Arabidopsis thaliana: one gene and its partner. The protein of the gene in region 2 interacts with the protein of the main gene of each other region in a pairwise test. Each region holds a gene or a part of one and is shown on either strand. Other genes may lie near its edges. The genes, in order: MBD02 and HB-7.

Region 1 (4,918 bases), on a different chromosome or scaffold from region 2:
CTACTTACTCACAGTCCATAGGAACCTTCCAACAACCGCGGACACTAGAGATTACTGAGTTGGATGAGACAGGTGAGGATGTGGTAATGGATGATGCATCCAATGAGATAGAAGAGGATACTGGAAGCACCAGTCTATCTTTCCCTCAGCAAGGACAGCAGCAAGAGCAAGAGCACACCTATGGTTTTGGCTTGCATCCGTGGCAGCAAGCGCAAAACTGTATGATTCCGCAGCTTCCTCAAGTCAGTACTACTCCCACTCCCATCACTTGGTTCCGATGATACGGCTTAACCACGGGAAAACTGAATAGGGAATGCACGAAGCAGGATAGTAGAAGGCAGATTTGTTGTTAGTTTTTGTTTCTGCCTTTTGCGCAGATTAGAGATATGGCATAGTTTTGTTGTTGTATGTTTACCAAACTAATAGCTTCAGCCATATCTCCCCTAGGATGGTTTTGACTTTCGAATGTTATCTTTTGGATGTCGTTAAAATATCCTTTGAGATAAACTACGTTCCAACTTAACATGCACATCTACAGTTAAACAGACTCTGATCTATTCTTATCTGCTTTCTTGTGTCAGTCCTCTAGTGGATTTGTGAGATAATGGAATTTGGTAATAATCAAACTTTAGGTTTAAAAACTTTCAGCATGAAAATCCAGTTATTTGGAAGCAAAAACCAAAAGGACCCATCTTCTTCATAGAAAGTATGTTACACTGCAAAACAAAATAGATGGTATACACAAAAAACAAGCTAACCACATGCTTTCAGTTTCTTCGATAAGACAAACCCAAAAAACGAAGAAAGAAGACGGGTTATATACCAGAGAAGACGAGATAAGTTCACTCTCGTCTAGCTAGATTATCTATCAGCAAGTTCGTCGTTGGAGCCAAAGATTGATAGCGTCGATGTTTTTTTCTTTTTCGATGGTTGGTAATGTGAATTGTTAAGTCCAGACTCGGTTGGCGTACCTAGCTGCAACGATATATGATCATCTGGAGATATCCATGCCAGTGGATTAGCTGAAAAATAACAAGACAAGCGAAATGTTAGAAACTTGTAAAAGCATAGACGTTTTCATGTTAATAAAGTTCCCTAAAGACACCAATGTTCGGTTCGAGTATACGTCAAATACACTCTTGACTGAAAAAATGACATCAATAATCTAAAGCCTTGATACAAAAGATAACCACAATTATATTTATGTGCCTTGATAAGCAACACACCTTCTTTAGCTACAGGGGTGTTTGTATTATCGATGGAATCCAGTAGTCGAGCTGGGCGCTTCCTCACGTAGTCATCCTGCAGCGGTTTCGGGATTTGAAACGAGAACTGTGAAAGTTTCACCCCTTCTCCAATGTATTCGGAGTTGTCATTCAAGTACCTGCAAACCAGTAATAGTGGTTATAAGGGTGTAAAGAAGCTAGCTATACGTCACTGAAAACAATTTGGTAATCACTAAACGAATTGGTAAGTCACTAAGCTTTTTTCTCCTACCATTGTTGTCACTCTCAAATGCTGCAGGGAAGTATCATGGAAATAAGGATGATAGTTTAACTAACTTCTTGGCATAGTACATTTTCGTTAGTAAACAAAACACATGCAAGGATTTCTGTAATTTGCATAAGTGCCTAACTCTAGTTATGACCACAGAACAATACTTGAGGTTCCTACTGATTCAATATATTGGTTGACGAAAATGGTAAGACTGATACAGTGAGACCTCATCAAACATAAAAGTAAGGAACACTTTGTTAAATGTGAAAACGAAAATGTGGAAATGGAGTGGTAGAGAAACTAACTTTTGGACCTCCACAGTTGATCGAAGCTTCTTTCCAGACGGAGCAACATAATAACTGAAACAACCAAGATAAAAGAATGATAAAGAAAGCCAATACAATGGTATAAAGAAGAAAGACTAATATTAACATAAATGAGAGAAGAGTTAACGAACGACATACACATCAGCAAATCTGGTACCTCCTTCACCTCTAATCCGCAGTAAACGTTGCCAGCCAGCGGGTGGACGAGAGATATTCGGTTTATCAATAGCCCAAAGACGAGTTCCATCTTGATAGATATCAGCAGGAACATCACAAGAAATATCCGGCTTCCACTCACGCGCTGTATCGCAGAAAAACGGGTTTTCAAGAAGCTGTTCCCTAATCTCTTCATACTTCTGCATTGAAGGCATGAGTCTCCATTTGAAACAACTTGCACACTGAACCGTAAATGCCCCGATAGAGGGACACTGTGTTCTAGATGACAAAGGCTGAGATTGAACCGGTAGAACTTCTTCTTCAGTATCATCATTTCCTTTCAAGTCATAAACCACTAACTGATTCTCACCTCTATCCTCATTAGGTGAAGACGATCTTTGGACAGCTCGAGACTGCGACATACTCATAGAAACTACCTATAATAAATGGTTAGAGAAATGAATGTCAAGTGAAAACAAAAATGACAAATTTAGTTAACAAGAATCATTCATCACAATAACACTAGTCTCTCTATTAACATCATAAGAGAACATGATCAAGAAAACATTGATACGTGTAAAGAACAGTGAACAGTAGAAACCCTCGAACATTTCAATCTCAAAAATCAACAATAATCATAAAACAGAGCAAAGGAAACAACAATTATCATATAATCAAAGAAGAACATGAGCTGATAGAGACGAGATCCAAAAAAAAAACAATTTCATCGAAAAGCCGAAACAAAGATTAAAAATTTATCAAGAAGAAGAATCGTTACACGAAGAGGACGAGAGCAAACCAGGGTTTCAGAGATCGGTGAGCGAAGAAGGCTCTAAAGATCGTTGTGGTTAATTTGAGAATTTCATTTTTTGAGACAGAGCCAATTCAGACAACACTCTTTGTCTAGATAGAAAATGGGGAAACCGAGAAAGAGAAGAGAGAAAGAAACTGAATTTAATTTATTTTGTATAAATATAAAATTTGTTGTTACGAAAATAATTCTTAATTTACATTCACTTCAAAATATATCATGCTATAAGTAGGAGAATATTTGTGCTTTTGGGCTTATAAACAAATCTTACCATTAATCAAAATTTCCTTCAGAAAAAAAGAATCAAAGGATAATTCTTTCTAATATTAGATATGGATTCGTGTTGTGCATGCTAAATAGATGAAATATGTCTAACAAATATTTGCCATTGTTTAACAAATATTTTGAGACTTCCATAATATGTAAATTAAACTTTAATAAAAACAAATATATGTCAATTGTTGATTTTTTTTTTTTGGGTCAAAATATATGTCAATTGTTGATATAAAATATTAGGCCTGCGACTTCGGGTAAACCGAACCGAACCGAGTCGGTTATTTCGGGTTTCGGTTATTTTGGATTTTTGAAAATTCTTCCGAAACTAACCGAAATTTATTACGGTTCGGTTCGATTCGGATATTGGTTTCTTTGGTTTTTAAGTTTAAAACCCGAAAATAACCGATTCTTTTTTTTTTATTTTTTTTTAACATTAACAGATATACTTTATTAGAGGGATGATGTGTAATCCTATGGAGGATTTGTACAAGAAACAGAGGTACATAAGAATGAGAGACAAAAGTAACAATGTTTTCTAACTCCACTTTAGCTAATCGATCAGCTGCTTTGTTAGTTGACCGGAAAGACCATTTGATAATGGCAGTAGAAAACTTCTTCCGCCAATGTTGTATCTCCATGACGAGGTTATGAAGTTCAAAATTCCTTGTGTTCCCATTGAGTAAGCTTTCCACAGTCCTATTATCACCTTCAAATATAATCTTTCGATATCCTCTACTCCATGTATGTTGCATTGCCATCAAGAGAGCCTGTAGTTCCGCTTCTAGCACTGAGTTGCATAGTTGTCTTGTACCTTGAGCCGCAAGTAGATAACTGCCTGTGTCAATTCGTAAAATCCAACCAGCCTTTGGTGCTAGATCATTCCTTGAGAAACTGCAGTCATAATTGCATTTGATAAAGCCGTGAATAGGTTTTTGCTACCCTTGCCCGCTTCTGTCATTTAGACTTCGTCGTTGTGTGTCTCGCTGCAGAGGAATCCACTCATATGAGTCTGTTATCGCTTTTTGTACATCATCTTGCCAATTACTCCCTTTTCGCTGGTAAACTAACAAATTCCTGCTCTTCCATATGTGCCACAACATCCATAAAGGTATTTGTCTTGTGATATGGTCTTGTCTCGTATCAGTACAGCATTGAAGGATTAATCTGAATTTATCTTCAAAAGGTAAGTGTGGATTGAAAAACGCTGTATGTGACACCGGAGAGCCCCTCCAAATAGCTTGAACATAATGGCATCCAAAGAATAGGCGTTCTAATGTTTCAGGAGCTGCACAACATCGTTTACACTGTGAATCTGAAATGATATGTCGTCGTGTCAAGGCCTCGCCTGTCGCCAATGATTGAGTTACTATCCGCCACATGAAGTGCTTTAGTTTTGGTGTCGTGTCTAGCTTCCATACTACTCTCTTAAACTCGGGTAAACCTGGTGGGGGAACATAATCATGTTGTTGATTCGGTAGATGTGTACAGAGCCAATAACTTGATTTGAATGTGTATTCCCCATGCTTTGTGTAGTTCCAGCCTAGTACATCAGGGGACGGTTGTGATCTTAATCTTAACCTTGTATCAATCGTGCTTCATCTGCTTCAAAGAGTTCTTCTATTACTTCTTTATTCCACATGTTTCTGCCATCTTGCATTAGGTGCTTGACTTGTGTATGATTGGTGACCGTCGCATCACGTTTTTGAGGTGGTCTTGGTGGGTGTGTTGGAAGCCATGAATCAGTCCATATGTTTGTCTGTTTGCCATCTTCTATAAGGATTCGAAGTCCTTGCTGCAGGAGGTCTCGTCCTTCTAGAATGGATCTCCAAATGAAAGAGGGCTTCCTCCGGTT
Region 2 (4,396 bases):
AAAGAGCTCTTCATGATTTTGTAGACGCGTCTGAATTCACGGTTCGCACGAACTGGCCTTTCACTCGAGGACGTTGTTCTGCTAGCTTCTTCCTGCTCTGGTACCGAACCTGTAATCCATTTTTATACATCTCCATTGAATCAGTTTGATCTTGTATTTGTTTCAGATGCTGTTTTTATGATGAAGCTTGTGTGTCTCTTACCTTTTTGTCAAAGCATCGATCTTTCCTCTTCAACCGGAACTTCATCAATGCAGCTTCTCTCTGGCTTCTACTCCAACGTTGTTTCGCACTTTCTTCTTCCTTTGGTTTCTCTGTGCTACTGCTTTGTCCAGCAATCCCCTCATTGGTGCTTTGAGAACCAGCTTCTACTTCCTTGCTAGCTGCTTTCTCGCGATTTGATTCTACCGGTATGGGTGAATCTTGCTTCTGATTCGTTACTGTGGACTGAAGAACTTGGTTACGGAAGCTTACGCTTGATGATCCGATATTCTCCTGGTTGCTGCTCGTTGTGGAGCTTCCTTGATCAGATCTTACTTTTCTCAACTTTTCATGTGATTCGGTTGGTGTCTTTGGCTCACCTGAAGTACTCTCCTCTAAAGCAACGACGGCTTTTTCTGCTGACTTGCTTTCCTCAAATCTGCAAGTTAAATACATAAGAATTTGCGAATTGACTGACTCTGTTTTGATACTCTGCTTTTGTTGAGAAAAAAACAAAGTTTCTCCTTAAATCTTCCGAGTCAAGAAGATGTTAACTTGGGTTTCATGGTTCTTTTCGTGTTCCTAATATCAGTTTCTTCTCACCAACTTAGTTCTCTTCTTGATCTTTTACATATTAATGCATAACACTTTATATATATGATTTCTCCTGCTTTTGATTTTTATTCATCCAAATTTAGTCTTAAACTTACTACTTAGCTACAAAGCATGACGAGTACTTACTACTTAAAAACAGAATTACAAACACGAACTGAGAATATACGTCTTTCTAAACACATCATTTATACAGACAAAACCATACAATTTCAGCTCAAAATCCTGCAAAATTCTCGCTGAGAAACGAGTCATTTGCTGGACCGAATATCTCTATATCCGTGGCTCGGTTCATGCGATGTAGACCGGTAAATTTCGATTTGAATATGTATATATCCAATCTTTAGTCTCAATCTGTTTCATCTTCTTGTTTAGAGTTTATTGTTTTCATGACCAAAAATCCCGCCAAGGGTAATTGTTGCTGGATTGGTCCAAGAGAGTAGTAGTATCTGATTTGAAACCTCTCCAATCATCAGATGATGTCAAACAACTATCAGCTGGTTCAACAATGTTCATTAAGTGATCTGGTTCTTCCTCAAACCCACCAAAATACTCTCTCTTGATGTTGTTACTATAACCATTATCATCATCTTCATAATCATGATGATCACACATAACCCCATGATGACCCTTATCATCTTTCATCTCCATCTCCGGTCTAACCTCTTCCGGTTTACGCCTCCGGTTCTCTTCGTTTTCTGATTCATGATGTGTGCTGCTTAGAGCAACCACCGCTTGATCTCCACTACACTGCCTTTCCTCCTCCTGTGTCTTCTTTTGCGTCGCCTCTTTTAGCCTCTGCAACTACATAAAGGTATAAAACAACTCATCAACAATCTATTCTCTCCTTCAATAAACCATCAAAACAGAGTTTTTCTTGATCACCTAATCAGTCCTTAATTGCAATATAACCACTAAAGCACATATTTTATCACATATTTAAAACCACAGTTTTTCAGTATACAACCACAAAATACACAGATTTTAACTAACCATGTAAGAATAAACAGAGTTTAGAACATACCTCAGAGACTAAAGCTTGTTTTTCTTTCTTTAAGGACTCGAACTGAGAAGCCAAGTTGTCGTAGTTTTGTCTGAGAATGTTGTACTCAGTCTCGAGCTGCTTGGATTTCCAACGAGCCCTCTTGTTCTGAAACCATATAGCCACTTGCCTCGGCTGCAACCCTAGCTCTCTAGCTAATTGAACCTTCTTCCTTGGCTCAAGCCTTGTCTCAGACTCAAACATCATCTCCAGTGACTTGATCTGCTCGTCGCTAAACCTTCTCTGATTGTTCTTGTTGTGGTTGCTCTTCTTCATCTTCTTCATGGTCAAGAATGGCTCTGCTGACATCATCGCCGGAGAATATTCTCCACCTTCTGTCATCTCATCGGAATTTTTCCTCAGAGGATTTATGTTTTCTTTATTTTTATTTTTTGGAATCTCTATGTTTGTGTGATGTTGGCTATCTATATATGTGTGTTGATGAGGCTGAGATTATTATGTTAACAGTTATATAAAAATGTGATTTGTTGTTCTTTTTTGGGAGGGCTCCTTAGCATATAATAAGATATAACTTTGGGTTTGCTTTATCGTAAATTTTTTATTCATTTTTGAGTAAACGATTTGTGGGTCGACAGGTAGCAATAGGGCGGATTTTGGCTGTTTCTAGAGTCGTCGCTATCACTTGTTAAGTCGAGTTTCATTTCAACTCGAAACTAATCATCTAACTACTGATTAATAATTTCCACCTTTTTTATTTCTTTTACTTGTGACAAAATTAGTTTCGACTTAACAAGTGTTAGAAAATTAAATGATACAAAAAAATCTGCATACTACACAATTTACCGCATAGTAAACATTCTGGTCGATGTGAAAATGGAAATGGAACAACGGTTGCGTACCAATGTATTTAGTGATGTGGGTGCATATTAACAAATCCTGTTAAGTGGATCTTAAATAAAAATGAAGGGAATTATAATGGTTCATATAATGATTAGCATTTCTGAACTGATTACTAAACAATTATAATGGTTCATATAGGGAATTTCAGAAAATGAATAATCCTCATCTCCTATGCATATATCATCATGTGATTAATTATATTCTTTTCAGTACATCTCTGGTGAATTTTTAAATTTTTATGATTGTGTGCGACAGATTTAACGTTCAGAAGTCAGGATGTGTGACGGGTGTTTTTGTATACGTATGACACAAATCATAATTTTCTTAGAATGTGACTTTAATATTATTATACTTGCATTGTAAAACATATATTGATTACATCACAAATCTCAAAAACAAAACATTGTGACTTAAGTATGATGGGATACAATTTTTTCCAGCTATTTGCTTACGCAATTTTTTCTAATCGGAGATTTGATTTAGAATCAAAGCCTAAACTAATTTTTATAGATAAGTGTAATACAAGTTTACCTTCACCACACGTAAAACTTCCGTGCATGCGATTTGATAACTTTTTGCCAACTCTGTTGTGATCATTTGTTGACCCCTTCCTTACAAAAAGATATTTACTTCAGATTGAAAAATTGACAATACTATTATACTCGTAAACTATTTGTTTCTAATATCATATTTGAACTTATATGATAAATCACAGATATAATGATTCTTGAGAAAATTTTCTAAATTTTTCTTTTTTTCTGTTTTTATGTTAACAACACCATATTTATATATATTTTTAGAAAAAAAAACTAAATAGAAATGGCATATAATAGTTTTTTTCTAGAGTCTATATAACGTTATTTTTAAGAAAGTCTTCATACAACTGATTTCGCAAAATTTCTCTAGTTTAGTTTTACAAATTATGGTACTTCAAACCTCTATAAATGTTATGGTATTTTAAGAATGAATGCCTCGTGATTATTTAACAAACATTACTCCAAAGACAAAAGGCTAATTTTTCGTAACATTTCATCATTTGAATGGAAGCAAGTTAAATTTTTGCCAACAGGGAAACCATATTTGAGGCAGATTCCCTAGACTTTATTTTCTTCACGATAGCGATAACAATTTAACAATATTAGTATTAATGTGAAAAGCAACTTTAATTCTTGCTTTCCTGATTAGTTTAAGGTTTACGTTCACCTTGCTTGTCGGAAATTTCTTTTGACTAATTAATACAAGCAAAAATATTAAATTGGGCCATCTAGATAAGATATTTTCAAACCCTAATATTCTTTTTTTAATAATTAAATCTGATATTTGTAAAAAAAAACATAATTCGAAATTATATCTATCAAGTATCAACTAAAATTAAACCAAAAAGAAGTACCAACTAAAATTTAACGTAAGAGATCAATTTCTAAAGTCTTATTGAACTTATCAGAAAGTGGCAATCAAAAAGTATCAAAATCAGCCATCGAAAACTAGCCAAGTGTTATAATCAGAGATGAGAGTTCAATGCTTTGGGACATCAAAGTTGATAGAAGAGATGACATGGCAGTTGATCTGTGGTGGTGCCTGAATATTTTGGCCCAGCAAAGTACACACGTGTCGTGGTTAACTAGTATATCGCAATTTCTGAGAAGAGCCGTAGGAGAAGACAAATTCTTCATTTCTTTTTT

What was found.
Region 1: the proteins of HB-7 (region 2) and MBD02 interact in binary tests that used the Arabidopsis thaliana proteins (3 or more experiments, as listed by UniProt).

Annotation. Positions count from the first base shown.
Region 1 is NC_003076.8:13,522,864-13,527,781, forward strand, and holds MBD02 (methyl-CPG-binding domain protein 02), read right to left. Parts: upstream 2,936-4,918; 5' UTR 2,758-2,935; exon of another isoform or gene 2,413-2,757; 5' UTR 2,408-2,412; coding exon 1,962-2,407; intron 1,857-1,961; coding exon 1,803-1,856; intron 1,385-1,802; coding exon 1,227-1,384; intron 1,023-1,226; coding exon 862-1,022; 3' UTR 540-861; downstream 1-539. Other genes in the region: AT5G35320 (DBH-like monooxygenase), read left to right, coding at 1-281. UniProt on the Arabidopsis thaliana protein: Probable transcriptional regulator.
Region 2 is NC_003071.7:19,164,579-19,168,974, forward strand, and holds HB-7 (homeobox 7), read right to left. Parts: upstream 2,390-4,396; 5' UTR 2,196-2,389; coding exon 1,836-2,195; intron 1,616-1,835; coding exon 1,199-1,615; 3' UTR 696-1,198; downstream 1-695. Other genes in the region: AT2G46670 (CCT motif family protein), read right to left, coding at 11-109, 203-655. UniProt on the Arabidopsis thaliana protein: Probable transcription activator that may act as growth regulators in response to water deficit.